Linked DNA regions of Ovis aries. The protein of the gene in region 5 interacts with the protein of the main gene of each other region in a biochemical or structural test. Links are inferred from orthologs where the notes say so. Each region holds a gene or a part of one and is shown on either strand. Other genes may lie near its edges. The genes, in order: SCML2, SKP2, PSMA3, CCND3, CDKN1A, CASP3 and CCNA1.

Region 1 (3,500 bases), on a different chromosome or scaffold from region 5:
GGAGGGAACTGTGGAGCCCTAATATTTTTATAGTAAAGAGATTAATTAAACAGGGAGTATAGAAAAAAAAAAACCCTCATGTTTGATGAGAATTAAAGTTTATATGAGTTAATAGTACCTTTAATACTGCTGTCAAGTCTTTCAGGGCATTGTGACTGACACAGTCAATTGAAGTGTCCGGGAAAAGTGTACTGCCTTTTGACCTTTACTTCTAGCATTATATGTCATCAAGACTAAGTGAGAGAAAGAACAGAAGGAGTTTGCAGAAAATATAGATTGTTACAACAATCTGTGTTAGTCATTGCACTGATGACTGGTTTCTGCTTTATTCTGCCACCATATTCTGACACCCTGGATGGAGATCTAATAGTCAATTGAGAAACAACGCTGGTTCTCAGAGTTTTTCTTTCCATAAATTAATGCTTTATTTCTGCTATGCCACACACCTTTAGATCCCTGTGAAAAACAAAGAAATAGCTTCAGAATAGTGAGATGAAATGATAAAGACATATTTTGAGTAAATTAGTATTAGAGACATATGAGTAGAATTTGCTATTACGCTATAAAAAGTCCTTTAGTTGTTTCTAGAGTTCACGTTTTTAGAATCACTGTGATGCAGTCCTCATTACATCAAGAAAATCTGGATTATCATTTATATCAGAACCATTATTATCAGGAAATGGTCTTATTTTTTATTTCCATGCTGGTAGTCAGATGAGGAAGTTTGTATTTGTCCTTTGAGAAGTATTTCTTTAAAGAGATATGGAACTAAAATCCATTTTATTCCTGAAAGTTAGTATACATATTATATATGTTTTAAAAACCCTGAGAATTCTCTGGCAATCCAGTGGTTAAGACTTGATACTTTCACTGACATGGGCCTGGGTTTGCTGTCTGATTGGGGAACTAAGATCCCATAAGCTATGCTGGTGGGGCCCAAAAATAAACCAAAAAAACCACCTATTTTTGCATGTTTTTTTCCAGATAATTTTCAATGGGAAAAATACTTGGAAGAGACTGGATCTTTAAGTGCTCCTTCAGAGTATTTCAGACAGGTATGCCAAAATTCTGTAGATACCATGTTATATTTATTTTTGTAAACTATTAACTTGTTGAAGGGAATCTGTTATTAGGTTCTATTAGTGTGAAGCAATGTGGGATTGTGGGAGTGCTGCTTAAGAACCAGATGGTCTCTTCGCATTCATTGATTAAGAATTTACTTTATGTCAGGTATACTAAGCTCTTATGACTGCCCATCTGGAGGGAAAGGTAGCCATGTAAATAATTAATGATAAAAAGTGTGATAACTATACTGGAAAGGACTCACAGAAGAGGTCCTATCTGAGGTAGTTGTAATGAGGGGAAGGATATTCCAGGCAGAGAGAACATCCAAAGGAAAGAGACATGGGCGTAAAAGAACCTGAGTGTTGAGGGATGGTATGGGTGGCTGGAGCACTAAGTAGATAGAGACCTAAGTATGGGAGTGAGGTTAAAGTGTGGTGGCTTTTAAACTATACTGACTGTTTGGACTTTACATTAGGCAGTGGTAAGCTGCCTTTTGGCTTACTTTAAGAGTAAAGGCCTAATCAAATTCTTATATTAGAAAGGCACTCAGGATGCATTTTAGAGGTTGTATTTGGTTTGCCTGGAAGTGGGCAGATGAGTGAGTGACAAGCAGTGGGCAGCCATGTCAGGCTGTGTGTCAAGCCAAGGAGAGAATTTGGAGATCTTTTTGTTAACCCTTACAGCTCTCATTTTGTTCACCAACTGTTGTAACTGTTACTTAAAATGTTCCTCATGTATTCTGGTAACATAACTGACCGTTTGATTTTCCTACAGTTAAAGAGTTTTAACAGAATTTTATTTGTATGTGTTTATGTATATAGTCTAAGATTCCACCAGCTAATGACTTCAAAGTTGGCATGAAGTTGGAAGCCCATGACCCTCGCAATACGACTTCAGTATGTATTGCTACAGTTGTTGGAGTTACAGGTGCCAGGCTGCGTTTAAGATTGGATGGTAGTGATAACCAAAATGACTTTTGGCGGCTGGTTGATTCTCCAGACATACAGCCTGTTGGGACATGTGAAAAGGAAGGGGACTTACTTCAGCCTCCACTGGGTAAGGATAAACAGTTTTAAAACAAAATATTTTTGCTAATGTAATATTCAGTAGAAATAATTTTAACTGACCCTTTGAAAATCTCTTCTCCTAGGCATTCTGGCAAACAGACGGTCAGGTGGTTACTGTGGAGAAGGTTTGAGAAAGTAACTCAGTACCATATGTTATAGAGTTTCATTTAAGTACATATTTTGGCATATGTGTGGCTAAAGGTTCCCACTCCAGAGCAAGACTCCTTCTGCCTTAAAACTTGAAATGTCAAAAGCAGATTACACTTGCAGATTCAGAAACCCTTCTGGGGGAGAAGTTTGTAGCATTCGATATGAGTCACTTCCTCCCTCAGTATTGTCTAATGAGCCATTCATCCTTTTTGTTATGGGGATTAGCATGGCAGAAGGAGATGATTTTACACTGGGACGCCAGTGTTAGGCTTGGGAATTTCATTACACCTGTATGGGAAGAAATCATAGTGAGAGGGGTAGGAATCAGTTACTTTAGGTCTTTGTAAAGGAAGAGATTGATGTAACACTTCAGCAAAGGTTTTTAATATAAAATTCTTGATTTTAACCAAGTTTTTAAAAGAAACAAAGTACATGACCCTAATTTTGTGCAAAAATTTTTCTGTTTTAATACTTTGGTGTACCATGGTATTCTGTAGAATATAAGTATTTAGTTTATTACTTGCACATTCTGAGTGAATGGTGGGTATTGGTTTTTGTTTCTTTTTTATAATGCTAAAATGTAAATGCTCTATTATAATGCACAGTGAGACAGTTAATTTTTTTTGTCTCCAACTAGTGAAAGAAGCTGTGAGAATAAAAAATTTAAGACAGTAATAACTGTTTTTTCTAATAACATCATTTTATATTGTCTTTCTTCTAATGGTTAATTAATACTAACTTGGTTTAAAGTATTTTTAAAAACTAATCAAGTATGTGTTATTCCCAAGAAGATGGTTTAGGATATGTGTGTTTTCTGCTTTTCCCCTTTTCTTCATAACATTCAAATTTTTTTATTGCTTATTTTTATAATATCTTAAATCATACAGACTTCTGTAACAGATATACATCTGAGGCTTAGTGCTTCCATGTTTGGGTTTTATTTCTCTATTGACAGTATGCTAGTATGTGTTTGTATTTTGTTTAAAGGAAACAGCTGTGGTGATTGTCAGCATTTCAGACACATAACCAAATTTATAATCATTATTTTTTCAAATTACTTTTTAGAGTTTATTAATTAAAAATATGAAATATATAGCAATACATGCTGACTAGTATGCATTGTGATACCACATAATAAAAAAATACAATTTTTGCCAATTTGCTCATGAGATGCTTTTGAATAGTTTAGTTTCCATTTTAATATAACACAACTTACAT
Region 2 (4,019 bases), on a different chromosome or scaffold from region 5:
AAATAAGAAGGTATGCCACACAGCATGCTTAAGTGATATTCTAGTATTTTTGTGATGACGCTGGGTGCTTCTTTCTGAACTTTATAAATCCTCTCCATTTTTACTAGGGTTGGAAGTTATTCCCCCTCTCTCTTCCACTGTTTTCCCAGGCTCGCAGTTATAGAACATTTGCACAATGGATTTCGCACGGTCATCCTACCCAGAAAATGGCACTCTCTAACCATCTCCAAACTTTTCTCCGTGGATATAGTCTAAAAGCAAGCAGCTGACTTTTAGGACGTGAGGCAAACAGAATTTTTTTTTTTTTTTTTTTTGAGACAGTAATCGAATGGTTTTGCTGGTGGCCGCTAGCGTGGCACGGAAAGCCTTTTGCAAACAATAGTCACCTTATTTGTTCTCATGCTAGCATTTATGAGACTTCTCAAGGCTGCCGGAGATGCTGAGCTTTCCCCTGGCACTCACAGCAATCTCCTGCTCCCCTAAAATTAAACCTCCGCCTGACGTTTGAACCGCGCTTTCGTTTACAAAACGCTCTCACGAGCCTCCTCTGATTTGACGGCGACTGTGAAACGAGCGTTCTTGCCGTGGTGCCTATTTTACACGTAAGGAAAGGATCCTGTCCACAGACCTAGTCCTTAGGGCCGCCCTCACCCGGGTGGAGTACGCAGCTCCAGGCAGAGAGGGGAGCAGGTGTGACGCCCACGGCCGCAGCCTCTCACCTGGCCGGCAGGGCGTGCCACGGCCTCCACTCAGCTACCTGGGACGTAGGCCCCGCGACGGCGGCCTCTCGGGGTCTCCGGGGCCCCCCTCAGTCCGCGCTCGGCCCCACACCTCAAAGTGCCTCACGCTCTCCTCCTCGGGCTCACCGTCCGATCTCGCCGGACAGCGTCCAGAAGGGCCTGGAAACCCCGCGGCCGCCACAGCCTTACAGGGTTTGGGACCCACACTCCTTGGCGACAGCGGCGGCAGTCACCAAAAGGTCGGGGGGTCCCGAGAAAGGAAACCCGAACCCCAGTCAAGCAGCTGACATTTCCCCAGTTAGCCGGAGCACCGCCCACTTCCGCTTCCCCGCCTACCCTGTGGGTCGTCCGGTCCCGCAGCCGCGCGGGGTTGTGGGTATCTCGAAGGCGGCAAAGCTGCAAGGAAAGGAAGTAGTGGCGAGGCAGCCGGACTACCAGGCTGGGCAGAAACTACAATTCCCAGCAGGCAGCGGGGCCGCAGACGACGGCTGCGGAGGAGAGCCGGCTGGCTGGAGAATTCTGCGCGCGCTGCTGGGATGGAACGTTGATAGAGTTCGCGGGTTTCGCTGCAGCAAGCCGGGGCCGCACGCAGTGCGCCGCACGCAGTGCGCCGCCGCGCGCCAAAGCGGGAATTCGGGGGGCGGGCACCTCTGCAATTAATGCACGCATTTAAAACTCCCGAACCTGCGGACGCCATGCACAGGTAAACCGATTGCAGAAGGAGACAGAACATGAATGGACCGTCTTAATTCTTTTAGGCCGCGTGTTTTGCTACTTGGCTAATATTGTTAGTAATGCTGTAATGTGAATGGCTGCTTAGCCTCTTTGGGAAAACGTGGATGGGTGGATGCTTTAGTGCGGTGGTCAGCGTGGATGTTATTTGTCTTCCCTTATTGGGCTTTCCTGCTGCTGTTTTCAATCAGTGTGTGATTGCCCTGCCTCTTTCCTTGTATGTTCCCTCCACTTTTAAGAAATTCTTGAGGCCTTCTGCATGATCGGAAATCGAAAAGCCTTTTCGATGTGTTCGGTTATTTTCTCTTTTATTCTTGGGGACTCGCCGCCGGCACGTAAAAATGCAGTTCAGTTAACTGCTGTGAAAGCTTTCTGCGGTGCATAGCTTGCAGCTTCCTTTAGGCCTGTCTGGGAATTATTTACGGGCGTGTTTTTGAAAGGAACGTGGGGCTATTGTGCGTTTCTGCAGGAAACACCTCCAGGAGATACCCGACCAGAGTAGCAACGTTACCACCAGTTTCACGTGGGGATGGGATTCTAGCAAGACTTCTGAACTGCTTTCAGGCATGGGGGTCTCCGCCCTGGAGAAGGAGGAGGTGGACAGTGAGAACATCCCCCAGGAACTGCTTTCAAACCTGGGCCACCCACAGAGTCCCCCACGAAAACGGCTGAAAAGCAAAGGAAATGACAAGGACTTTGTGATTGTCCGCAGACCTAAGCTAAACCGAGAGAACTTTCCAGGTAAGGTTTGAGGGTAAAATACAAGCCCAGTCAATGGTGGATTAAATTGACCGGTTATTTTGTCGGTAGACCTTTGTTTAGGGTTATTTAGCATGGGGTGGGGCCCTTCTAAAGAAATTGTAATTTAAATTTATTTATTTATTTTTGTCCGTGCTGGGTCTTCCTTGTTGCCCCGGCTTTTCTCCAGTTGCAGAGACTTCTCTTTGGGGGAGCATGGGCTCTAGGACGCAGGGGCTTCGGTAGTTGGAGCACGTGGACTCGGCAGTTGCGGGTTCCAGGCTTTAGAACACAGCCTCAATTACTGTGGCGCTGGGGGCTCAGTTGCTCTGCTGCGTGCGGGATCTCTTCCCAGATCAGGGATCGAACCAGTGACTGCTGCATTGGCAGGCAGATTCTTTACCTCTGAGCCACCAGGGAAGGCCAGATAGGGTCCTTTTAAAACTGCCCAATTCCTAAGTTATTTTCCAAAGAAACCAGACCACTGGTTGTGCTTACAGAAATGGTGGTATGTGTGTGTCTTCAGAGACAGAACTGACTTGTAACCGGTGAAAAGACATTCCTTCCTTTTTCTTTAGGAGGGACTCTGCCTGGTTAAGGGCCAGCTCAATACCTCTGACAAATAGAAACAAAGCAATGATCCATAGAATTCTTTTTGTTTATATTTGGCTGCTCTGTAGCCGCTGTTGAGCCTTTTACCATAATCACTTTAGTTATTTATCAAAGGACTGCTGAAGTGAATGTTGAGCTAAGGGGGAGAGACTCATCCTTACAGATCCATTCCCAAGAGGAATTCTTTATGCTGTCTCCATCACTCACTGTGTTATCTGTTCAGTTTCCCCAACCCCATAACCTAAAGGTCAGTCAGATTCCCACCATCCCCCCCCAAAATCCAACCAATCATTGAATCTTTCCCTCTTGTCTCCTAAATATTTCTCATATTTAGGAAGGGACTCATAATTCAGAGCCTTATCCTCCCCAGATCCATCCCCCAGAGCTAGAGTGGACTGATTGAAATGTAGAACTCCACTACGTCATTCCCCTCTAAATAGCTCTCTGTTTCCAGGCTTCTCAAGCTGATTTATAACTGCCTCCCACCGTGGATCAGAGCTCCAGGAATACTCAGAACCATAGGGTAAACATAGTGCGTTGACCTGGGGTTATCAGTTTTTCTTACTGGCAAGCCATGTAAAACATTAATTCAGCAAATATTTGCTGAGCACATTGCGTCTGCTAGGCATTGTTCTAAGTACTGGGGATATAGCAGTGAGCACAATAAAAGCATTTCTACCCTCATGGAGCTTCTCTTCTAGAAAGAGGATGCAGTATGCACAAATCTGGTGTGTAGTATGTTAGAATAAGTGCTATGGCTAAAAACAAAAATAGAACACGCCTAGAGGGACAAGAGATCCTGGGATGGGAAGCTGGTTTGCAGGATATTGAAGAAGCCTCACTTGGACAGTGAGCTGTAAGCAAAGGCATAAAGGAGATGAAGGAATGTGCCATGCAAATATCTTGGAGAAAAGAGCCCCAAGCAGAAGGAGCAGGTAGTGCAAAGGCCCTGGAGCAGGAGAATGATGTGTTTGTTCAAGGAACAGCAAGGAAGCCATATTCCAAGAGTAGAACAGCAGAGGGGAGAATAGTGAGAACTGGGCTAGAGGTACAGTTGAGCAGAGTTGCTATGTAACCTTTGAAAAGGATACACTGGTGTCTTGAGACTAAACTTTGAGGGCTTGAGGATAAAAGCTTAGAGACTTGTTGAGAGGTGTGAGAGTGGTGCTAAGCAGCTTCTGGATAGATTTTGATATT
Region 3 (4,076 bases), on a different chromosome or scaffold from region 5:
TCTTATAAAGCAAATGTTTTTTGTCAATAGTGTTAATGCCATGAAATCTAAAGAAATATTAAGAAAGTGTTTCCAGATTAAAGGAGACTAGAGACATGACAACTGAATACAACATGTGATCTTGGATTTTCTTTGGCTGTGAAGGGCATTATTGAGGGATTTGCCAAAATCTGTAAACAAAGTCTGCAGATTAAAAAAAAAAAAAAGGAATGGTACTTTTCTATTTTCACAGTTACAGTGTGGATATTTAAAATGATGTTCTTTTGGGGGAAATACACACGGAAGTATTTAGCAGTTTAAAAAATGCTGACAGCTTTCCATTTAAAATCAGATTAAAATTCGAACTATTATGAAATCTGATTCCATATCCACCTCTCTGATTTCATTTCCTGTCACTCTCTCCCGCTTAAGGCCATACTGACCTGACAGTTCCTATAAGCCAAGCTTATACTGAGATAACAATCCCAAATTTCCATTTAAGTATCACCCATTCGGAAAGTCATTCCTTAAATAACAGGTTTAAAGTTCAAACGTCCATTGTCTCTCTCTCTTTTTTTTTTTACCAAAAGGTGCAACTATTTGCCCATTTACTCCCTGTTGCTTGTTTCTTCCCATTGAGTGTAAAGGATGAGGTGCCGTCCCTTTCATCGTTTCATCAGCAGGATGTAACTTGAGTATTTGGGACATACAGAGTTCAACAAATAATATTTAATCAAGCTTATCCTCAATTCTACTAGAGTTATACAAAGGGTACTAATCCTGTAAAATTCCGACCTAAGCCCAGAGGTGATACCCTTAGAATGCAAGAATACAACTTTCTTCCTTCTTGTTAGAATAGGTGGATGATAGGGTTGCTTCAACATATTGGGTTAGAACCAGGCCGCCAATGGTGGAGGGAGACCTCTCCCTTACCGTTTTCTCTGGCCTTTGTAAGGGTATGAGAACATCTCTCCGTTTTGCTTTAAAAAAAAAAAATAAGGAAGCGAAAGAGAAGGATAAAAGATAAATAATAATTCTAGGAAAAGGACTGGCGGAGCTTCTCAAGCAACCAGAAGACAGAACGAATCTACGAACTCAAACCGAAGACGAAACAACCAAGAGCCTACCTAACCCCGGTGAGATTGCTTTTGCACATGCGCGTTACTTGCCGGGTGCATTTCCCGCCCCCTCCTTTCCCACAATCCTCTGTTCCGTGGACCAACGCTCCAGGAACGAGCTACAGAAAAGACTATTGGTTGAAAGAATAGTCAATGAGAGAGCTTGTTACTAGTCTCTTACTGTGGTGCTGGGGGATCGCTTTAGGCCTGAAGCCATAAGCGTCCTAGTGATTTTGGCACCATGAGCTCAATCGGCACCGGGGTGAGTTCTTTGTTTCTCTGTGTGATAGGCTAAGGATTAGCGTGGAAGGGAACGCAGACAGACCGCGGTGGGTGCGCGGACTCGGGGTCCTCTGGGACTGCCTGGGGGCAGGTGGGCCGCTTCCAGTTGTGCAGTGCCGGACGGTCTAGGCCCGCGCCTGCGGTGACCGTGACTTGACGCTTCTCAGCTCAGGTGTAGCGGGCTTGGCCGCGCAGCAGTGAGATTTGGAGCCTCTTTAAAAGGTTGCTGAGTCACTTTCTTTAGCCACTTAGGGAAACCGAAAGTGGAAACTCTTGAGGCCTGAAATGGTGTGTGTGCACGCGCTGTGAAGGACTTGGGCAACAATTAAGCTCTTGAGCACCACTGAGGCAAGGAGGCTTAAGAGTCCAAAGTTTGTGACGCCGCTTTCCAAGAACCTCTCCCCGCCTCCCCACCCTTGCGGTTCCTGGGATGCTGCTGACTCCCGGGGATTCTCTGCCTTAGCTTCGAGGTTACCGATGGACCTCTCTGTATGAGTCCCTGAAACCTTCTGAGAACTGACAAGGAAAATTGTCTAAAAAGCGGAATCTGAAGAATCTTTTACATTTTTCCGTTGTCCCAGCTTTTCTCCTAGAGGAATAACAACAGTGTGAGGTCTCGGCACCGTAAGCGTTTAAATGATTAGCTACGGACTTAACCGCTTCTTTGAACAGACTGTCCAGGATTTTGGAGTTAGATTTGTTAACTTGTTCGGCCTACTAACTTTCCTTTGTTAAACGTACTGCATATATACAGTCTTCAGCTTGTTCCTTTTATGTATTTCCCCATATAGAAAACATAGTGTTTAGAAATATTTATTCATTGGTTCCACTAGAGGCATTGGGTAATGGGTTTCTCAGTTCATCTACTCCCATTGTGCATTAGATTTTGATTCTCACCATTAGGCCCAAATACTGGTTTTCCGAGTTAGATAATAGACAATTTATACTAAGGTTGTCATACTGTTTTTGGATTAGTTGATGCTCATTGACTTTGCAACTACATTAATATTACCCTGGATTAATAGTGTTCTGAAGGGTTCTACAAACATTTTAAAAATATTTGGTAATATAAATAGGTGATAAATTTTGAGTATTACGGTGGTAAAGATCTTCGTTCGGCAGACCAACAGACCAATTACCCTAGATTAATAGTGTTCTGAAAGGTTATACAAACCCTTTAAAAATGTTTGATAATATAAATAGGTGAGATGTTTTGGTATTAATGCTGGTAGAGTTAAAGATCTTCCTTTAACAGACCAACAAGCTGAGAGGCAAGAAACACCACTATTGAAGACTTAACGCTTGTCTTGTCCCAAGAACTCCAGATGGGAAGACCTGTCTTGACATTTCTCTCCACTTGATTATTTGATAGGCATTTCAAATGACACGTCCAGAGTAGATCTCTGAGTTTTCTTCTTCTGTTGCCATTTTGCATCTCCTACAATTTACATTTCAGTGAATGGTTCAATTTTAGTTGCTTAAATGAAAAAAAAAAATCTATGGTGCACTTCTGAGTTCTTTTTTACTGTATTCCTAAAGCCAATCCATTAGCAAGGTTTTTTTGACTGCACACTCAAAGGGTAACACCTTCCACGTCTTTCTCTCTTGTCTAAGACACTCCCTTTGGATTACCCTATCTCTGCTTCCACTCTTGTTTTCTCTGTAATTCATTTACCAGATGAACAGCATTTAATAAAAAATTAGAACCTCTTCCCCTCACCCCACCCAAACTCCAATGACTTTCTATTGCATTTAGAATAAAACGTAAACTTCCTGTTCCAGCCTAAAATAAAAGACTTAGCATAACTTGGCCCTTATATGCCTCTAATATAGTTTACTGTTCTGTTTACCATTTATGGTGCTCAAGATTCAGTGGCATTATTATTTCCTTTTCTTAATTTTGCTGCTCTTGTTTCTACCCTGAGTTCTTTTATGCCAGATGCCAGGACACTCCTCCATATTCTAAATGAGTAGTTACTTGTCTTTTAGGTCTGGCTCAGCTTAAATAACATAAATATAATTTCTGTAGCAATGCCTTTCCTGATCAGGTAGTCTGTGGTATTCCCTGAGACCATAAGTTCACTTTGTCTTATTTTAGAACCTTTTATCTCCAGCACCTGGATCTGTTTGAGGTCTGATTTGAAAATGAAGGACTTTAAGAATGAGTAGTCTTTGTATTTTCTCATAGTGACTGACATATAATAGATGCTTATTAAATATCTGAATGCTGAATGATGTATCCAAGCTCCTTTAGTTCATTACTGCCACAGCTATGAGAAGCTGTGGTACTAAAGAGAAGCCAGTGTTGTTTCTACACTGGTAATGGTAATTTTTTCAGAAATGAGCCATGTTCTGTGTGGGAAAAGTTCTGACTTTACCCAGGACTTGTGTTCATTGCTTGTCAATAGCAGAAATCTAGTGTGTAACTTTTCTCTTAGCTGCTGTTCCTGCTTTGACATACTTTCCCTTTCTCTTTACAGCAAAATCTTCACTGAGATTGAACATATATTTCTGATGTGTAAACCATTTAGGAAAAAATTGTTATTACTGCCAAAGGTGCATCCTTCTAAGCTTGTTATTGCCTTTTCCTTGTAGTATGATCTGTCAGCTTCTACATTCTCTCCGGATGGAAGAGTTTTTCAAGTTGAATATGCTATGAAGGCTGTGGAAAATAGTAGGTAAGAAACAATGTTTTAC
Region 4 (4,300 bases), about 5.1 Mb from region 5:
GGACAGGGAAGCCTGGCATGCTGCAGTCCATGGGGTCTCAAAGAGTTGGATATGACTTAGTGACTGAAGGACAACAATCTGGATGGTGAAACTGCCAGTACTTACTCTTTACTTTTTTGTGTGACATTGGTATTTTCTGTCTTCTACAATGCATTGAATATTTCCGTGATATGCAAACAGCAAAAAATTTATTGTATAAAAAAGAACAATTCACTGGGATAATGCTTAGCGCAGGACTGACCTCTTTCTATAGAGTGTCATTTCTCTAGTAATTAACTTCCTTAGTGTCTCACCTCCTTGGAGGACCCCAGGAAAGGCAGGGATCCCCATGGCCTCCTGCCATTTGGAGCATTACTGGAGGCTTGTGGTGTGTTTGCCTCCTGGTCACGCGGAATCCAGCTCTGGAAACGCTGCAAAGTCCCAAAGCTTGGGAGGTAAAAGTGGCGCCTGAAAGATTTTATACAATCTGAGCAAGAAACTCCTCTAGAAAGGAGGCAGTTTCTCCGCCCATCATTTCCTCAAACGGAAACTAAGGCCAACGTCAGGGTTTGTCCAAGGCCACACACCCAACTTAATGACAGACAAGGTGAGGCCTTGAATCCATGACCCTTCCGCCCTGTTGTAGTTCTCAAGCGTGCGGATTTAGGACTGTCTCTTCTCACACTTTAGTGTGTACAGGAATCACCAGGGATCTGGTTAAAGGCAGATTTTGATCCAGTAGGTCAGGGGATGGGCCTGAGGTTCTGCTTTTCTGACCCGCTCTCAGGCTGGTTCGGGGATCAGTTTAAGTAGCCACGGGGTAGAGCAGAGATTCTGGGGGCAGACCGTCGGCTTCCCAATCCTAGCTCTGCCGCAGACGAACTATTATTATAGTTACTGCTTCAGTTTCCTCAACTGCAAAATCAGTATAAGACCTAACCCACAGCTTCTTCATTAAGATTTTAATAAGTGCTCAGACCAGTCTCCCCTAAGATCTAGCTATTTTATTATTATTTACTTTTCCTAGAGCAAGCAGCGGGTGAAGTAGAGTTTGACGAATGAATGAATAACCTTTCGGGGCGCCTGGAGTCGGGAGATGCAAAAATGGAAGGGCTCGGAGGTGGGGGCGGGGGGCGAGGAGAGGCCCACCTCCAAAGCACACTCCTCTAGCACCGGGTGGTCAAAAGGATCCGGAGCGCCCGGAAGCCGGCGGCCCGCGCCCAGCCGACCAATGCGGTCGCCCGGGGGAGGGGGAGCGCCCGCCAGCCCTTTCCGTCCGGGCGCCGGAGGCCCCGCCCCCGGAGCGTCGCGACGTCTGAGCATTCCACGGTTGCTACTCGGTCTCGAGGGGCGGGGCGCCTGTCAGGGAAGCGGCGCGCGCGCGGCGGCGGGGGCGGGCTGAGGCTCGGCCGCGCAGTGCCAGCGACAGCGCCACAGTCCCGCGCCCCGCGCTCTCCGGCCCGCCGCCTGCGTTCTGGCTCCCGAGCCCGCACTCCCGCCCTGCCCGCGCGCTGCCCGAGGATGGAGCTGCTGTGCTGCGAGGGCACTCGGCACGCGCCCCGGGCCGGGCCGGACCCGCGGCTGCTAGGGGACCAGCGTGTCCTGCAGAGCTTGCTCCGCCTGGAGGAGCGCTACGTGCCCCGCGCCTCTTACTTCCAGTGTGTGCAGAGGGAGATCAAGCCGCACATGCGGAAGATGCTGGCGTACTGGATGCTGGAGGTACCGCCTGGGCGGGTCTCCCCTCCCCCGTCACCCCCGCGTCCCGGGCTCCGGACATCCCGGGGCCGCCCTGTCGGGACATCCTGGTCCTCAGCAACAATCAGCAAGATGTTTCTGTGGCGCAGATCCCCGGGGCCTGGACTTTTCACTCGCGCGCCCTTAGCCGGCTGCCTCGGTGCTGTCTTTTTCTTGCCCTTCTCTGACCCTGACCGCCAGGCATTTGGCACCCCCAAATAACCCTGTCTTCGGGCGGGGAAAGCGGGGCGAGGGCCACCCTCTCCCCTCTGACTTCTCTCAAAAGCCTCCCCCCGCCCCCACCGCACGCCCGGTCTTCTCTGGAGAGCGCGCCTGGAAAACCCTGGGCTCGGCCGCCCCCGCCGCAGAGCTGGTTCCTTGTGTGTGTCGCGGGGGTTCTGGCGGGGAAGCCGGTGGGGGTGGCGCGCTGTTCCGGCCGTCAGGGAAATGGAAAGTGCGGGAGGCAGCCGCTGGAGTCTCCTCCCTTCCTTTTGGGTGTGTGCACTGGGTGGCAGTAATGGGGGTAAGGTCCCAGTTCTCTGGCTTCTATGGGTGACTCTTCCGAACCCCTCTCCCTTGGTACGGGGGGTGCAGATCAGCCTCAGTTTGGATTCCTGAAGGAAGGGAGCCTCTGGCGTATCCCGCTCCGCCCCCCCCCCCCACTCCCACCCCCGGGGAAAGGAGGCACCGCAGAGGAAGTGGGAGGGTGTCACCTTGGGGAAGGCGCATCCTGCGTGTTAGTCCTTGTCACTGTGAGTACACCTACCCCCTCCCGTGTCTTGCTCCCCATTCCACTTCCCTTCAGCGCACCGCACCCCTCGCCTTTAGTTGCTGCTGCGTTTCCTAAGCCTCTGCCCCCGAAGTGACTGTGCGCCCTCCCCCAGGTGTGTGAGGAGCAGCGCTGTGAAGAGGAAGTCTTCCCCCTGGCCATGAACTACCTGGATCGCTACCTGTCCTGCGTCCCCACCCGAAAGGCGCAGTTGCAGCTCCTGGGTGCGGTCTGCATGCTGCTGGCCTCCAAGCTGCGCGAGACAACGCCCCTGACCATCGAGAAGCTGTGCATCTACACCGACCATTCTGTCTCCCCGCGCCAGCTGCGGGTGCGTGCATACCCTCCCCACCTGCCAGCACCCCCTGCCTCCTTCCTAACGTACCAGGATGGGGGAAGCTGAGACCTCGGGAGGCTTTCTGCCCCTGTGCAGGGTAGCAGCTTTTTTTCTTTTTCTTTTGACAAAAGATGGGACAGTGTGGTGTGATGGTCAGGGTGGCCCCAGTTCAGGCTTGCACTCCCAGCATGAACCAGATCCCCTGTCTTGACCTCCAGGGGGTGCCACTCCTTCATGGTCTTTCCCCCAGATAGCAACAAGTCAAACTGCATGTCTACACTCACCAGAACTTTGCCTCTGGGTTTACACAGCCACCAGGAGTTATTTATTGGCAGCAGCAGGGCATGCCTGTGCACCCCCACTGGAGTGGGGGAGTGGAACGTGCTTCACGTGGGGGAAGGGGCCGCCCGGGTTGAATCTTGTCTCCCAGTGTGTGGACTTTGTGATCAAAAAGTCTCCCAGAGCTGATTAAAGCCAGGCCCCAGCTGCTGTAAGGAAGGGCCGAGGAGTTCCATCCCACTTTGCTTCCTTCCTTCCTTTTATATCCCAGGAGAACCAGCTCCTTCCCTCATTCTCCATTCCCTAGTCTCACCCTGAGAAATTGCTCTCAGAAGCAGCTGCTTCAGGCCTGGTGGAATCATCTTTTCCCCTTTAGCCAAAGGCAAGTGCTGAGGCACAGACTGGGGCTGAACTGCAGCTGCTTCCGATGTGATAATGATGCCCTCTCCCCTGGCCCACCCACCCTGACCAAGGTCTTTCATAACCCTGTGGGGAGCTGCTGTCACTCCTGTGGTTTGGGAAGTGGCTCCCTGGGCCTCTTGCTGGGAACTTGGGCTGGGCTCTTCCCGAGGCAGGGCAGGGGAGTCATGGTTCTCTTTCCCCATTGAGCCTGGAGAGGAGGTGGGGAGTTGCTTGGATTTGGAAGAGGTTATTTGGGAGCGTGCAGATCATCTCTCGGGGGACCCAGGGGAGAGGGGTGAGCTGGCACCTTCCTCCATCTTGCTCTACAGCAGTCGAGTCTTCTCTTGACCCGAGAGGCGTCTCTGGGCCCCATCTCCCGGGGAGGAGGGCAGCGTGCTGGCTGCTGTGATTGGCTGGCCAGGAAAGCCAGGGTACTGGGGCCCCTGAGTGCTGCTTGTCGGGGAACGGGATTCCTCTTCCTGCCAAGTAGCTCTCGGATATGGGAGTAGGAGGCCAGAGCTGGGAATCTGGGAGGCTCCACAGCTCTTTGTGATGAATCTGGTAGTTTGGGGCAAGTCTGAAGGTGGAGCTGGTTTCCAGGGCTAGAGAGCAAGATGTTTCTGAAGGAGTTTGGGCTGGTGGAAGGGGACTTCATTTTTGTGAAAAGATGAGCATGGGATGTGTGCCTTTATGTGAGGGCAGTTTTTCAGAACAGGCCAAAAGTCCTCTCCTCCCACTCCCCCTGCCTGAGCTGGGGGTGGAGCGTGCCGATCGATGACTTCCTAGAAGGTCAGAGTTGG
Region 5 (3,728 bases):
GACATCCTTGGGAAAGGCCCTCAGCCCACAACACCTGTCAGCTGCTGTCTGAAGGAGGCGGTGGCCCAGGTGGAGTGATGGGGAGGAGTCAGCCAGAACTAAAGGCAGAGAGAAATAATATTCTCCAAACACTTTCTCTGTACTTGGTACGGCTCAGAGGGCGTTATCTACAACCGCTTAGCGAATTCTCACATCTGGCCTCTGAGACAGTCGCTGTTGTTATCTCCTTCTAGAAATGACACCAGAAATAGATGTCCCTTTCATCATAGGCGACTGGAATGTAAAAGTAGGAACTCAGGAGGTACCTGGAGTTACAGGCAAGTTTAGCCTTGGAGTACAAAGTGAAGCAGGGCAAATGGAGTTTTGCCAAGGGAACGCACTAGTTACAGCAAACACCCTCGTCCAACATACACAAGAGACAACTCTACACATGGAAATCTCCATCTTATACAGGAGGAAAACAGAACCCAGAGAAGTTAAGCCACTTGTCGAAGGTTGCCCAGCAGAGCCTGGATTCCAACCCAAGTGGCCTGGTTCCAAAGCCCTCACCTTGAACCACCAAGATACAGCCGTTGAACTCTGCTCCATCTGCCTTGCCTGGCGGGGCCCGCCAATCATTTCCTTGAGCCTGCGTCTACAGCCCCACTCTTTAGACATGTATGCAGTCCCATTTTACAGATGAGGAAACTGAGGCCGGGGGACTTGAAGTGACTCTTTGAAAGTTGAGGTAGGAAGTGGCAGAGCGAGGACTAGAACCCAGGTGCTTTTAACCCCAAAATCCAGAGTAGTTTTAAGTCACTGAGCAGGATTACTCCACATGAGCATCTAGATGGAGGGATTTGAGAGGAGGCATCCATTTTCTTGGGAATTGACCTCCCCGGCCAGGCCTGGAGTTAGGAAACTGCTGGACTCTGACAATTCACACATACCTGGGGGCATTCACACCCATGAGGGACACCTCAGTGGGAAAAACAAATTGATTTTAGCTGATAACACCCAGTGGTAAACAGGACCCTGATCCCTGCTATTGCAATAAACTTGCCTTTGTTGACATAAACTTGCCCTTCAGCTGCCCACTCCCCCAGTGACCTGGGGGTGTCAGGCTGACTGACTCTGCCCCTCACACCCTTTCTGTGGGTGGAGGTTGGGAGAGCCTGTGGGAGGAACCCGAGAGCCCCTCTCACCTCACTTTCTAGTAAGGAGACTGCGCCTGAGGTTACGCAGTGGCATGGCCCAGAGAGGGAGCGTCCGACTTCCTGAGTGTCTCACGTGCCCCGGGTCTTCCTTGTGTTCCAGCCACAGGTGCCATGTCTGAGCCGTCCAGGGACGCGCATCAGATCCCCCGCAGCAGCAAGGCCTGCCGCTGCCTCTTTGGTCCAGTGGACAGCGAGCAGCTGCGCCAGGACTGCGACGCCCTCATGGCCAGCTGCGTGCAGGAGGCCCGAGAGCGATGGAACTTCGACTTTGTCACCGAGACGCCCCTGGAGGGGGACTTTGCCTGGGAGCGTGTGAGGGGCCTCGGCCTGCCCAAGCTCTACCTGCCCGTGGGGCCCCGAGACGATGTGGGAGGGGGCAAGCGGCCGAGCCCCTCATCCGCCCTGCTGCAGGGCACGTCTCAGGAGGACCACTTGGACCTGTCGCTGTCCTGCACCCTCGTGACTCGCTCCCCTGAGCGGCCCGAGGGGACCCCTGGTGGGCCTGGTCCCTCCCAGGGCCGGAAACGGCGCCAGACCAGCATGACAGGTGAGGACGGGAGCAGAGGTGGCGGCAAGGGATTAGGACTCCCAGAACTCACTGTGCCAGGGCTGACCTGTCTGGCCCAGCTTACTCATCGCTCTGAGGGGTGGGAAACAGGCCCAGAGAGGGGAAGTGGCTTGCCTGAGGTCACACAGCAAGTCTACTACCAAGACCAATTAGCTGACATTTATTTGGAACATTGACTATGTGCCAGGACCTTTGATAAGTGTCTAGATTTCTTTTAGTCCTTATAGTGATCTAATATCATAGGACATTCTTGGCATCCTTTTACAGGCAAAGGAACAGGACTCTGAGAGGTAGAATGGTTTGCCTTAGGTCCCACACTGAATTTACCATGGAGAGTAAATGAATGATAATTTCCTGGCTGCCTTATCCAAACCTAACTCGCCTTCCCCTTCATACATACACACCTTCACCTGCACTTCCTAGCCTATTTTTCTCTTTTTGGCACTTTTTAAACTATCAACAGCTACTTCCATATTTTGATATAGTCCATCTTCCCAAATAGAATCCTATCATCTCCACAAGAAAGAAATCTGTATCTCTCTTGTTCATAATTGAGTCCTCAGCACCTTGGATGGTGTGTGACACATAGTAGGTGCTTGAGGGAAATGGAATAAGTGAGGCTGGCAGTTGAACACTATGCCAGGCCTTCAGCCAACGTCTTTTTATTTTTTACTTTACAAATGTATTACTGTTATTATTTTGGCTGTACGGCTTGTGGGATCTTAATTCCCTGAGCAAGGACAGAACCCAGGCCACCTCTGTTGAGCGCAAGGAGTCTTAGCCACTGGACCACCAGGGAAGTCCCCACCAAGGTCTTTCCGGAAACATTTCATTTAATCCTCTGAGCATCGTACCAGCGTTATCCTCATTTTATAGGTGAGGAAATGGAAGCTTGGAGCAGTGCAGCCAAGAATCCCACAGCACATTTGCAGCTGGGTCAAAACTAACAATAATGATAATAATAATAACTAACCTTTATATGGCTCAGACATCATGCAGAACGCTCTCTGATATATCAGGCTCTGCAAAGAAGCAGATGCCCAGTACCGCTGGCCACATATCACTGCTGAGTGTTTGCCATGAGGAACTAAATTTTTCTATTAGTCTAATGCTAGTTAATTTAAACAGCCGCCTAGGGTTAGCGACCACTGCATTTGGGCAGCTTGGCTTAAAGCAGGCCCATGCATGTAAAGTCTGTTATTGATCACGTCTGTGAAGCGTGGGGGGATGTCCTGTATGTATGTAGCCCTCCGGGAGAGAGGCTAGAAGTTTCCAGAGTTCTTCCCTATACTTGGCAATGTGTCTCTCGGGCCCTGGGGAGGGGTCCCTGGCCCCTCTGCAGGTTGCACTGCGCAGGTGGCTCTGCTGGGCCCTCTTCCTCCTGACCTGGCTGACATCTGTTCTCTCCCCCCAGATTTCTACCACTCCAAACGCAGGCTGATCTGCTCCAAGAGGAAGCCCTAACCCCGCTGCTGGAAGCACGTCCTCGTGGAAACAGGGGCCCACTGCAGGCCTCTTCTGTACCTTTTGCCTTGGTCCTTCAGTTTGTGCGTCTTAATTATTATTTGTGTTTTAATTTAAACGCCTCCTCTTGTACATACCCTGCTTGCTGCCACCCTTCCCACACCCCCAGCCTCTGGAATTATTTAAAAAAGAAAAAAATTAGCAGAAAAAATAGGCTTATTAGATTGCTAGGTATTTTTATTATATGAACCGTTATTTAAACCCTCCTCATTCTTTGCTCGGAGAAGGCAATGGCACCCCACTCCAGCACTCTTGCCTGGAAAATCCCATGGGCGGAGCAGCCTGGTAGGCTGCAGTCCATGGGGTCGCTAAGAGCTGGACACGACTGAGCAACTTCACTTTCACTTTTCACTTTCATGCATTGGAGAAGGAAATGGCAACCCACTCCAGTGTTCTTGCCTGGAAAATCCCATGGGCGGAGCAGCCTGGTAGGCTGCAGT
Region 6 (3,218 bases), on a different chromosome or scaffold from region 5:
GCTGGAAACATCTAGTTGTTTGGGTTTTTTTTTCATATGTGTTGCTGTTGCTGCTGCTAAGTCACTTCAGTAGTGTCCGACTCTTTGCAACCCCATAGACAGCAGCCCACCAGGCTCTGCTGTCAATGGGACTCTCCAGGCAAGAACACTGGAGTGGGTTGCCATTTCCTTCTCCAATGCATGAAAGTGAAAAGTGAAAGTGAAGTCGCTCAGTCGTGTCAGACTCTTAGCAACCCCATGGGCTGCAGCCTACCAGGCTCCTCCACCCATGGGATTTTCCAGGCAAGAGTACTGGAGTGGGGTGCCATTGCCTCCTCCATATATGTTAAGTTTATCTGAGTGCCTTCCCCCTGCTATGCCTAATACTTTAGATTTTTAAATCTGAGGGCATTGTTCAGTCAGTCCATACATGCATGTGGAAGGTGCTCTAAGGGATGAAGAAAGTCCAGGACTACGGGGTACAGGCCACACAGCAGCTGCAGAGCCTTGTTCGAGTTCTGCTGGACTCTTCTTGCTGTGGGTCCCACATCTCTGCAGATGAAGCCGGTCATGATCATGGTTTCATGGTCGTCGGAAGGCTTAGACGCTTTTGAACAGTGTTAATGTGGCCTAGTGGTTTATGGGGTTTTTTTTGTTTCCCCCAAAAAGATACGATGAAACTACTGATGTATCTTAGAATTGTTGAAAACTTAGAATCAAAGAAATAGTTGCTCTGAGTGTGTGAGGTGTGTGTTGATATATACGTCTGTGTATGGTGATGTGTATGTGTTTGTGTATGTTTATGTGTGTGTGTATAATTTTTTCTTAAAAGTAGGATCCTTTTATTTTCTACTCTTTTTTTTTTCTTTTAATAATAGTGACCATTTTCCTATGGCAAAATTTTGTCTACAAAATTTCAGTGGCAACATAATATCCCATATTATAAATGAATTGTAATTTATTTAACCAAACCTCTCTTTTTAGGCATTTAAGTCATTTGTTTATCACTATCTAAGCAGCTGTGAAAAACATCTTTGTGACTGTAACAGAGAACACAGATAACAGATTATATCATGAAGTGTCTTGTATACGAAGAAATGAAAGCGACTTAGTGTCACCACTGTCAGAATATTGAATTTCCTTAGCATTTGAAAGGAAGAGTTTCTTGTGGATTGTGTGGATCCCTGAATAGTTCATTTCAAAGCAGTTTATCTTTTTTTTTCATGCAATTAAAAGTAGCTTTCTGTTCAAGGCATGGCCTGTCGGTCCGGTACAGACGTGGATGCAGCAAACCTCAGGGAAACCTTCACGAGCTTGAAATACGAAGTCAGGATTAAAAACGATCTTACACGTAAAGAAATGTTGGAATTAATGAGCGACGGTAAGAAATAATGAAAAGAATGACCTTCATTTCCAATGTATGTACAATCTAGCTATAACCTACATGAAAGTAAAGCATGAGAATTGTGAAACTAAAGAGTACACAGCCCTACTCTGTACATTTTATGTAAGTCCGAGTTATTCATACCGACTCCCTAGAGTAGTCTGAGGTGTGTTGCTCTGCTGCTCTGCCCCAAGCTGGGCTTACACGATCTCTTAGTTCAGTTCTCAGATTTCTTCATCTTACTCCCATACAGTACATATGAAATTGTTGAATAAAATTGCATTGGTTTTTTTTGCCTATAAATGTTTTTCCAGTTTCTAAGGAAGACCATAGCAAAAGGAGCAGTTTTATTTGCGTGCTTCTAAGCCATGGTGAAGAAGGAATCATTTTTGGAACCAATGGACCCGTCGATCTGAAAAAATTAGCAAGTTTCTTCAGAGGGGACTGTTGCAGAAGTCTGACTGGAAAACCCAAACTTTTCATTATTCAGGTAATAGATAACTGAGCGATTTGGTTATTGAGGCTTCTTTAGGGATTAATTTACTCCATTGTGGATTATCCAAAGGATTTTTAATTTTTTTTTTCCTTGAAGCTACTAAACTATTGCTACTTTTTTATTTATTTAAACCACTGCTTAGGAGACATAGCATAAACTTTAATTTTTAGACTTCTAGCAAAATGATTCTTAATAATTAACATCAGTTTTTATAGAGCCTTTGCATTTCTTAGGGATAAGTTACACATTTATGCATGTACACACATTTTTTTCCAATAAATGTTTCTTTTCTTTTTTTTTCTAATTTTTAAATAGGTGTTTATTTTCTAACCTCTAGGCCTGCCGAGGCACAGAACTGGACTGTGGTATTGAGACAGACAGTGGTTCTGAGGACGACATGGCCTGTCAGAAAATACCAGTTGAGGCAGACTTCTTGTATGCATATTCTACAGCACCTGGTAAGAAACTTACAGATACTGAAATAGGTAGATTTTAAACACTGAAGAGTGTGTTCCAAAGGCTATAGGGATTTTGATATCCATAAAAAGCCACTGTGTCTTGTTTTAGGGTGCCCTAACCACGGAGAAGTCTCAAAAAGTTGTCTTTAGCCCAGTTTGGCTAGAAAATGTGCCTGTGTAAGAAAGCACATTTGCACAGTGTCATTCATGAACTTGACACCACCTGGAATCCATATTATAATACAGGCCAAGTCAGAGCTTCGCCCACTTCCTAAAATAGGAGAGAGGTGTGTTTTCCAGGAATTCTTTGGGAGCTAGGAAACTGAAAGGATAAACATGAATAGCATATCAGTGGGTAGAAGTGGAACAAGAGAAAATAAGGTTAAAAATGATTTATGGCTAGGTTATCAACCTGCGCTTTGTCTCTGGTTGTATTACACGTTATGTGTGTGAGCGCTTGTCATCATATAAATTAATATATATTGATCATGGACTTGTTTACTCATACAACTAACTCAGGGTGTGTTTGGAAATACAGGGCAAGTGTATTTTTAAACAGTATAACATTTTTAAATATAGTTGATATGATTTATTTTAACCTCCAGGCATCTTTCCAGTTCAGATTAAAAGCAGTGGATCCAGGGACTTCCCGGTAATCCAGTGGTTAAGACTTGGTGCTTTCACTACTGTGGGCCCGGGTTCCATTCCCAGGTCCAGGAATTAGGTCCCCCAAGCCACTCAACGTGGCCAAAAACACAGCAATGAATCCACTAGTTTATCTGGGAAAATAACGATAAATACACTATTTCCCCTTTTTGGACTTTTGAATATGCTATAATGTGTTTATTATACTCCATTCTTTCCCTGTAGACAAATTTAAGACCCTCAAATGTATGTGCGT
Region 7 (4,289 bases), on a different chromosome or scaffold from region 5:
GAAGAAAGGATGAGTATGAGGTTTCTGGTCACTTTCCTCAATCAAGTAAATCATATCAAAAGGGATGTACAGAGCATCAGGTCACAGGAGGGCACAGAAGTGAAAGTGAAAGGCACTCAGTCGTGTCCAACTCTTTTCGACTCCAGGGACTATAGTCCACCAGGCTCCTCTGTCCATGGAATTCTCCAGGCAAGAATACTGGAGTGGGTAGCCATTCACTTCTCCAGGGGATCTTCCCAACCCAGGGCTCAAACTGGGTCTCCAGCATTACAGGAAGATTCTCTACCGTTTGAGCCTCTAGCTCCTGCCAAAGTAACCCTGGCTCTTGGAAAGACCTGCTCCTGAGTCCCTAACAGAGTCCACCCCTGACGCCTTTAGAGTCTCCAGAAGTCACAATAGTGTGGTCAGATGATGGAAGCCTCCCCAGAAGACTTCCAAAAGCAGCACCAGATGAGAAGGGGGCAGAAAGGCTCTTTTCCTCACCAGATAGCAGCACCTTGCAAAACCAAGCATTTGGGGCCTACCTACATATGTTGCCACAATTTGAGTTGTTACCAGAGCTGCTGTGTTGCCTTCATATCCGAAGGCATAGGAATTCCAGGGTGCAAAGGGATCGCTGCTTCCCAATGAATGAAAGTGGGTAATAAATGTGTAGAAGTTAGTTTCACATTAAAATCCATTTCTATTTTCCTTGGGCATCCAGGAGTGATTTGCAAGATGCCTCCTAACTGCCTCTTAACACCTGATTCAATCGCTTTCATCCTCATTTCCTGTAGAATACTTCAATTTTCCCATTAAAGTAATGCATACACATCGCTGAGTGAGCCCATTAATAAAGAATACTTAAGAAAAAACTGGGAGAGGTGTAAGATTAGCAATTATTTTCATTCAAAACAAGGAAGAAGGAAATAACGAGTTCTTAAAAAACGACCATTTGAATGGTTTCCATTATCTGTTTTATGGATGGGAACTTAGAGATGGGAATATTTAAAAATTAAAAACAGACAAAAGCAGTAACGTGTGTGTGTGTGCACAACAACATTTTCAAAAAAATAATAAAGGTAAAGATTCTTATACTTGGCTCTCTAGTTACCTCTGCAAGTTCCAGGGCTCCCTAGTTTCCAAGGACCCCCCCCCCCTTCCCTTCCTGCGTGGCCAAGGCCCCTTCTCCCTACCCTCACCTCTTACCCCCAAATTAGGCCCCCTGCTTCCACCCTACCCTGCCGCGGACCCCGGATCCAAGGATTTCCTTCCCACGTGACCAGGCCACCTGCCCAGTCCCTGGTTCCCAGCCTCCCCGCTATCCCCTCTCAACGTCCCAGACCCCGTCGCTGCCACTCGCGTTCCTTCCTCTTCCTGGGCCAGCTTCACGCTGGGGCTGCCGGAACCGTCGAGGAAGGTCTCTCTCCTGGGGACCTAGAGCACCACGTGCGACCCTAAAACCCCAGGTCTCCTCTCCCGCCCTGTCGGGTTACATGCACCGGAACCCAGGTCGGCCAGGCGTGGCCTCCGGTGCGCAAGGACCCAAAATGACCGAGAACACGCCGCCACCACGGACTGAGGCCGCGACTCCAACCAGAGGCCCGCTCGCTGCCACTTGGCTTTTCTCTGGGAGTAGGCTTAGGTGTGTGAGCTGGGGGAAAGGGGAGTGAGCCGCGCTGTCTGCCCGGCGCGGTCAAGGCGCCGCGGCCTCAGCAGCCCCGAGGGCCCCGCGTCGCCCTCCCGGGCCAAGGTTCTCAGGAGCGGGCCGCGGAAAAGACGTTAGCGGGAGGAGTTAGCGGCTGTTGGGGAACCGGTTCAAGTAAAAACAGTCCCTTCCAAACCCCGGCCATCGCGGGGCGGGCCTGCTTCTTCCCTTACAGATATCGGCCACAGTGGGGGCGTGGGCCGCGGCCACCGCGGCCGCCCGCCCAGACACGCCCGGGCAGGGCCGCTTAGGAGGGGCTCAGGGCCGCCGCCGGTTGGCCCCACCCAGCCCTGAACGCCCAAGGGTCGCGGTGCGTCCTCGGGTGCTGAGGTAGCCATAGAGATGAGGCCGCAGAGCGCGCACGCCCCCCTGCGGTTGGCATGGAAACGGCCCCCGCGAGGCCCGGGAGCTGCGCTGATTGGCCGATTCAACAGACGCGGGGGCCGGCGAGGGGCGGGGGGAGTTGAAAGTAATTAGCTCTGAGCTGGGCAGCAGACGCTGGGAGCCCAGCGCCCCGGCTAGAATCTATTAACACCTCCGTCCCCTTCCGCCCCGCCCCGCCCCGGCCCCGCCCCCTTCATTGGACCCTTATTCCCAATCCTCGTGTGCATTTGCTAATTGTTCGAGACTTATGTGTAAAGAGATAAGACTGAGAAGAGCGAGGTCCGCTGTGGGTTCCAAGCAGATTTTGGGGCCTTCTGTCTTGTGGGAGGAAGGCCGCGGAAGAGCACTCTGCTTGTCACTTGAGAAGGGGACGTACTTTCCCACAGTGATGTATCCTGGGTCACTGGTTTGCAGGGAAGGGGGTGGTGGAGTAATGGATAAGCATCACAGCCAGGAAAGACACGGGCTTGTAGGTTTGAACTCCCCACTAATGTGGGGGTTAGTGTCTTGGCTTGGAGGTTTGTCATATTCTTCTCTTCTTCCAGCCATCAGCCAGGTATTGGAAGAAAGGCTGGAGAGATTCAAATCATCGTTTTGGTTTAAAGCGGCTTTGATCACTTGCACTGTGGCTCAGGCCCTTTCAACCCTAATAACAGCAAGGAAGATCATGTGTCACAGGGCTGTGTCTTCTAGAGAGTCTCAGCATCCTTGGATCCTTATCCTTCGTGGAAGAGGCTGACTAACTGGCTTGTCTGTTTCTCCTTCCTTGACAGCAGTAAGCTGTGGAGACTGAGGCTATGCATCTCAGCAGCTCCAAGAGTGGAGTAGTGCTGGCTCCAGTGTCCCGAGGTCCTGATGCCTGTCAGATGATAACCAGAGGCCAGTTCGGCCAGGATCCGCCACAAAGAACAGTACTAGGAGTGCTAACTGAGAATGGGCAGTACAGGAGGACCTGTGGCCAGGTAATGCCTGGGAAGAGCTGGGAAGGCCCCCGTGTCTTGGTGGGAAGTGGGATCTCTTGAGATTTTCTGCACAAACTCCCCTTGAGTATTCAGCCCTGGAATCTGGCCTATAGGGGCACTGATTTTTTAAAAGAGCACTTTGTAAGGTCCCTTTTTCAGCTAGCAATATTAAATAATTTTCTTTGTTATTAGGAACTGTTTAAGTCAAATATGTGTAAAGTCACTTAAAAGAAAGTGAAAGTGAAGTCACTCAGTCGTTTCCAACTCTTTGTGACCCTGTGGACTGTAGCCTACCAGGCTTCTCCACCCATGGGATTCTCCAGGCAAGAATACTGGAGTGGGTTGCCATTTGCTTCTCCAGGGGATCTTCCCGACCCAGGGATTGAACCTGGGTCTCCTGCATTGCAGGCAGACGCTTCACCCTCAGCCACCAGGGAAGCACTTAAGTTCCGGGCTAAAAGGACATTGTGAATGCACCAAAATAAACTATTGTTGTTCAGTTGCGAAGGTGTGTCCAGCTCTTTGCGACCCCATGGACTGTAGCCTGCCAAGCTTCTTTACCCATGGAATTTCCCAGGCAAGAATACTGGAGTGGGTTGTGATTTCTTTCTCCAAAATTAACTTGTGGTACTGGTGTTTCTCTAGATCAGAATGGTATTCAGATTGACCTAGGCTGTGCCCTGAAGCATCTCCGATAACCTTTAAGTTCATTGGTGATGGTATTAGAATCAGGATTGGATCCCAGCATACTAGATTACTTACAAATGTGTGCTTTGAAAGTCAGCTTCTCCCCAGGACTGATAATGGACAGTTGGGCAGAAGATCATGGGCCATCTAATGTCCGGTTGCTTGTGCTTAATTAATCATAGGCACCTCCCTTAACAGAATGTAAACAGAGGGTAAATAAATTCAACACTTAAAATGCAAATAAGGAGTTTGGATCCTTAAGAATGAATTTTGAGATTAAAAAAACAACAACAACAAAACTTCCTCAAGTCTGTCATCACACCAGCTTCTCATAAGCTTGTACTGCATATCTATTGGCGGTAGTATAGTGGAGTAGGTGGGCAGGTATCCTTTCCATTGTACAGGTGAGAAAATTTGAGAGGTTTGAGAAAGCCTTCCCACCCAAATAAAAGTCATGATGGAGGCCAGATCAGAAGCTTCTCATCTACTGACTACTCCTACTCCTCTTCTACACAATGACACAAGTCATTTGTGTCTTGGTGGCATCTGGTTAGTGGGAGAAAATTACC

Evidence for each region.
Region 1: the proteins of CDKN1A (region 5) and SCML2 form a complex in vitro, tested with the Homo sapiens proteins (2 studies listed by BioGRID and IntAct). The link is inferred for Ovis aries from reciprocal best matches to the Homo sapiens genes CDKN1A and SCML2.
Region 2: of the proteins of CDKN1A (region 5) and SKP2, one has a biochemical effect on the other in vitro, tested with the Homo sapiens proteins (3 studies listed by BioGRID). The link is inferred for Ovis aries from reciprocal best matches to the Homo sapiens genes CDKN1A and SKP2.
Region 3: the proteins of CDKN1A (region 5) and PSMA3 form a complex in vitro, tested with the Homo sapiens proteins (4 studies listed by BioGRID). The link is inferred for Ovis aries from reciprocal best matches to the Homo sapiens genes CDKN1A and PSMA3.
Region 4: the proteins of CDKN1A (region 5) and CCND3 form a complex in vitro, tested with the Homo sapiens proteins (2 studies listed by BioGRID and IntAct, with this or other methods). The link is inferred for Ovis aries from reciprocal best matches to the Homo sapiens genes CDKN1A and CCND3.
Region 6: of the proteins of CDKN1A (region 5) and CASP3, one has a biochemical effect on the other in vitro, tested with the Homo sapiens proteins (3 studies listed by BioGRID). The link is inferred for Ovis aries from reciprocal best matches to the Homo sapiens genes CDKN1A and CASP3.
Region 7: the proteins of CDKN1A (region 5) and CCNA1 form a complex in vitro, tested with the Homo sapiens proteins (2 studies listed by BioGRID and IntAct, with this or other methods). The link is inferred for Ovis aries from reciprocal best matches to the Homo sapiens genes CDKN1A and CCNA1.

The regions. Positions count from the first base shown.
Region 1 is NC_056080.1:16,602,931-16,606,430, reverse strand, and holds part of SCML2 (sex comb on midleg-like protein 2), read left to right. Parts: intron 1-984; coding exon 985-1,055; intron 1,056-1,886; coding exon 1,887-2,121; intron 2,122-3,500. UniProt on the Homo sapiens protein: Putative Polycomb group (PcG) protein. PcG proteins act by forming multiprotein complexes, which are required to maintain the transcriptionally repressive state of homeotic genes throughout development.
Region 2 is NC_056069.1:38,233,650-38,237,668, reverse strand, and holds the start of SKP2 (S-phase kinase-associated protein 2), read left to right. Parts: upstream 1-1,219; 5' UTR 1,220-1,399; coding exon 1,400-1,443; exon of another isoform or gene 1,444-1,527; intron 1,528-1,941; coding exon 1,942-2,213; intron 2,214-4,019. UniProt on the Homo sapiens protein: Substrate recognition component of a SCF (SKP1-CUL1-F-box protein) E3 ubiquitin-protein ligase complex which mediates the ubiquitination and subsequent proteasomal degradation of target proteins involved in cell cycle progression, signal transduction and transcription.
Region 3 is NC_056060.1:68,603,469-68,607,544, forward strand, and holds the start of PSMA3 (proteasome subunit alpha type-3), read left to right. Parts: upstream 1-1,276; 5' UTR 1,277-1,338; coding exon 1,339-1,359; intron 1,360-3,974; coding exon 3,975-4,057; intron 4,058-4,076. UniProt on the Homo sapiens protein: Component of the 20S core proteasome complex involved in the proteolytic degradation of most intracellular proteins. This complex plays numerous essential roles within the cell by associating with different regulatory particles.
Region 4 is NC_056073.1:15,737,031-15,741,330, reverse strand, and holds the start of CCND3 (G1/S-specific cyclin-D3), read left to right. Parts: upstream 1-1,500; coding exon 1,501-1,698; intron 1,699-2,597; coding exon 2,598-2,813; intron 2,814-4,300. UniProt on the Homo sapiens protein: Regulatory component of the cyclin D3-CDK4 (DC) complex that phosphorylates and inhibits members of the retinoblastoma (RB) protein family including RB1 and regulates the cell-cycle during G(1)/S transition.
Region 5 is NC_056073.1:10,679,769-10,683,496, forward strand, and holds CDKN1A (cyclin-dependent kinase inhibitor 1), read left to right. Parts: upstream 1-1,307; coding exon 1,308-1,743; coding exon of another isoform or gene 1,744-1,940; exon of another isoform or gene 1,941-3,178; coding exon 3,179-3,228; downstream 3,229-3,728. UniProt on the Homo sapiens protein: Plays an important role in controlling cell cycle progression and DNA damage-induced G2 arrest. Involved in p53/TP53 mediated inhibition of cellular proliferation in response to DNA damage.
Region 6 is NC_056079.1:14,236,275-14,239,492, reverse strand, and holds part of CASP3 (caspase-3), read left to right. Parts: intron 1-1,231; coding exon 1,232-1,360; intron 1,361-1,677; coding exon 1,678-1,853; intron 1,854-2,196; coding exon 2,197-2,317; intron 2,318-3,218. UniProt on the Homo sapiens protein: Thiol protease that acts as a major effector caspase involved in the execution phase of apoptosis. Following cleavage and activation by initiator caspases (CASP8, CASP9 and/or CASP10), mediates execution of apoptosis by catalyzing cleavage of many proteins.
Region 7 is NC_056063.1:25,417,567-25,421,855, reverse strand, and holds the start of CCNA1 (cyclin-A1), read left to right. Parts: upstream 1-1,489; 5' UTR 1,490-1,624; intron 1,625-2,152; exon of another isoform or gene 2,153-2,844; 5' UTR 2,845-2,868; coding exon 2,869-3,033; intron 3,034-4,289. UniProt on the Homo sapiens protein: May be involved in the control of the cell cycle at the G1/S (start) and G2/M (mitosis) transitions. May primarily function in the control of the germline meiotic cell cycle and additionally in the control of mitotic cell cycle in some somatic cells.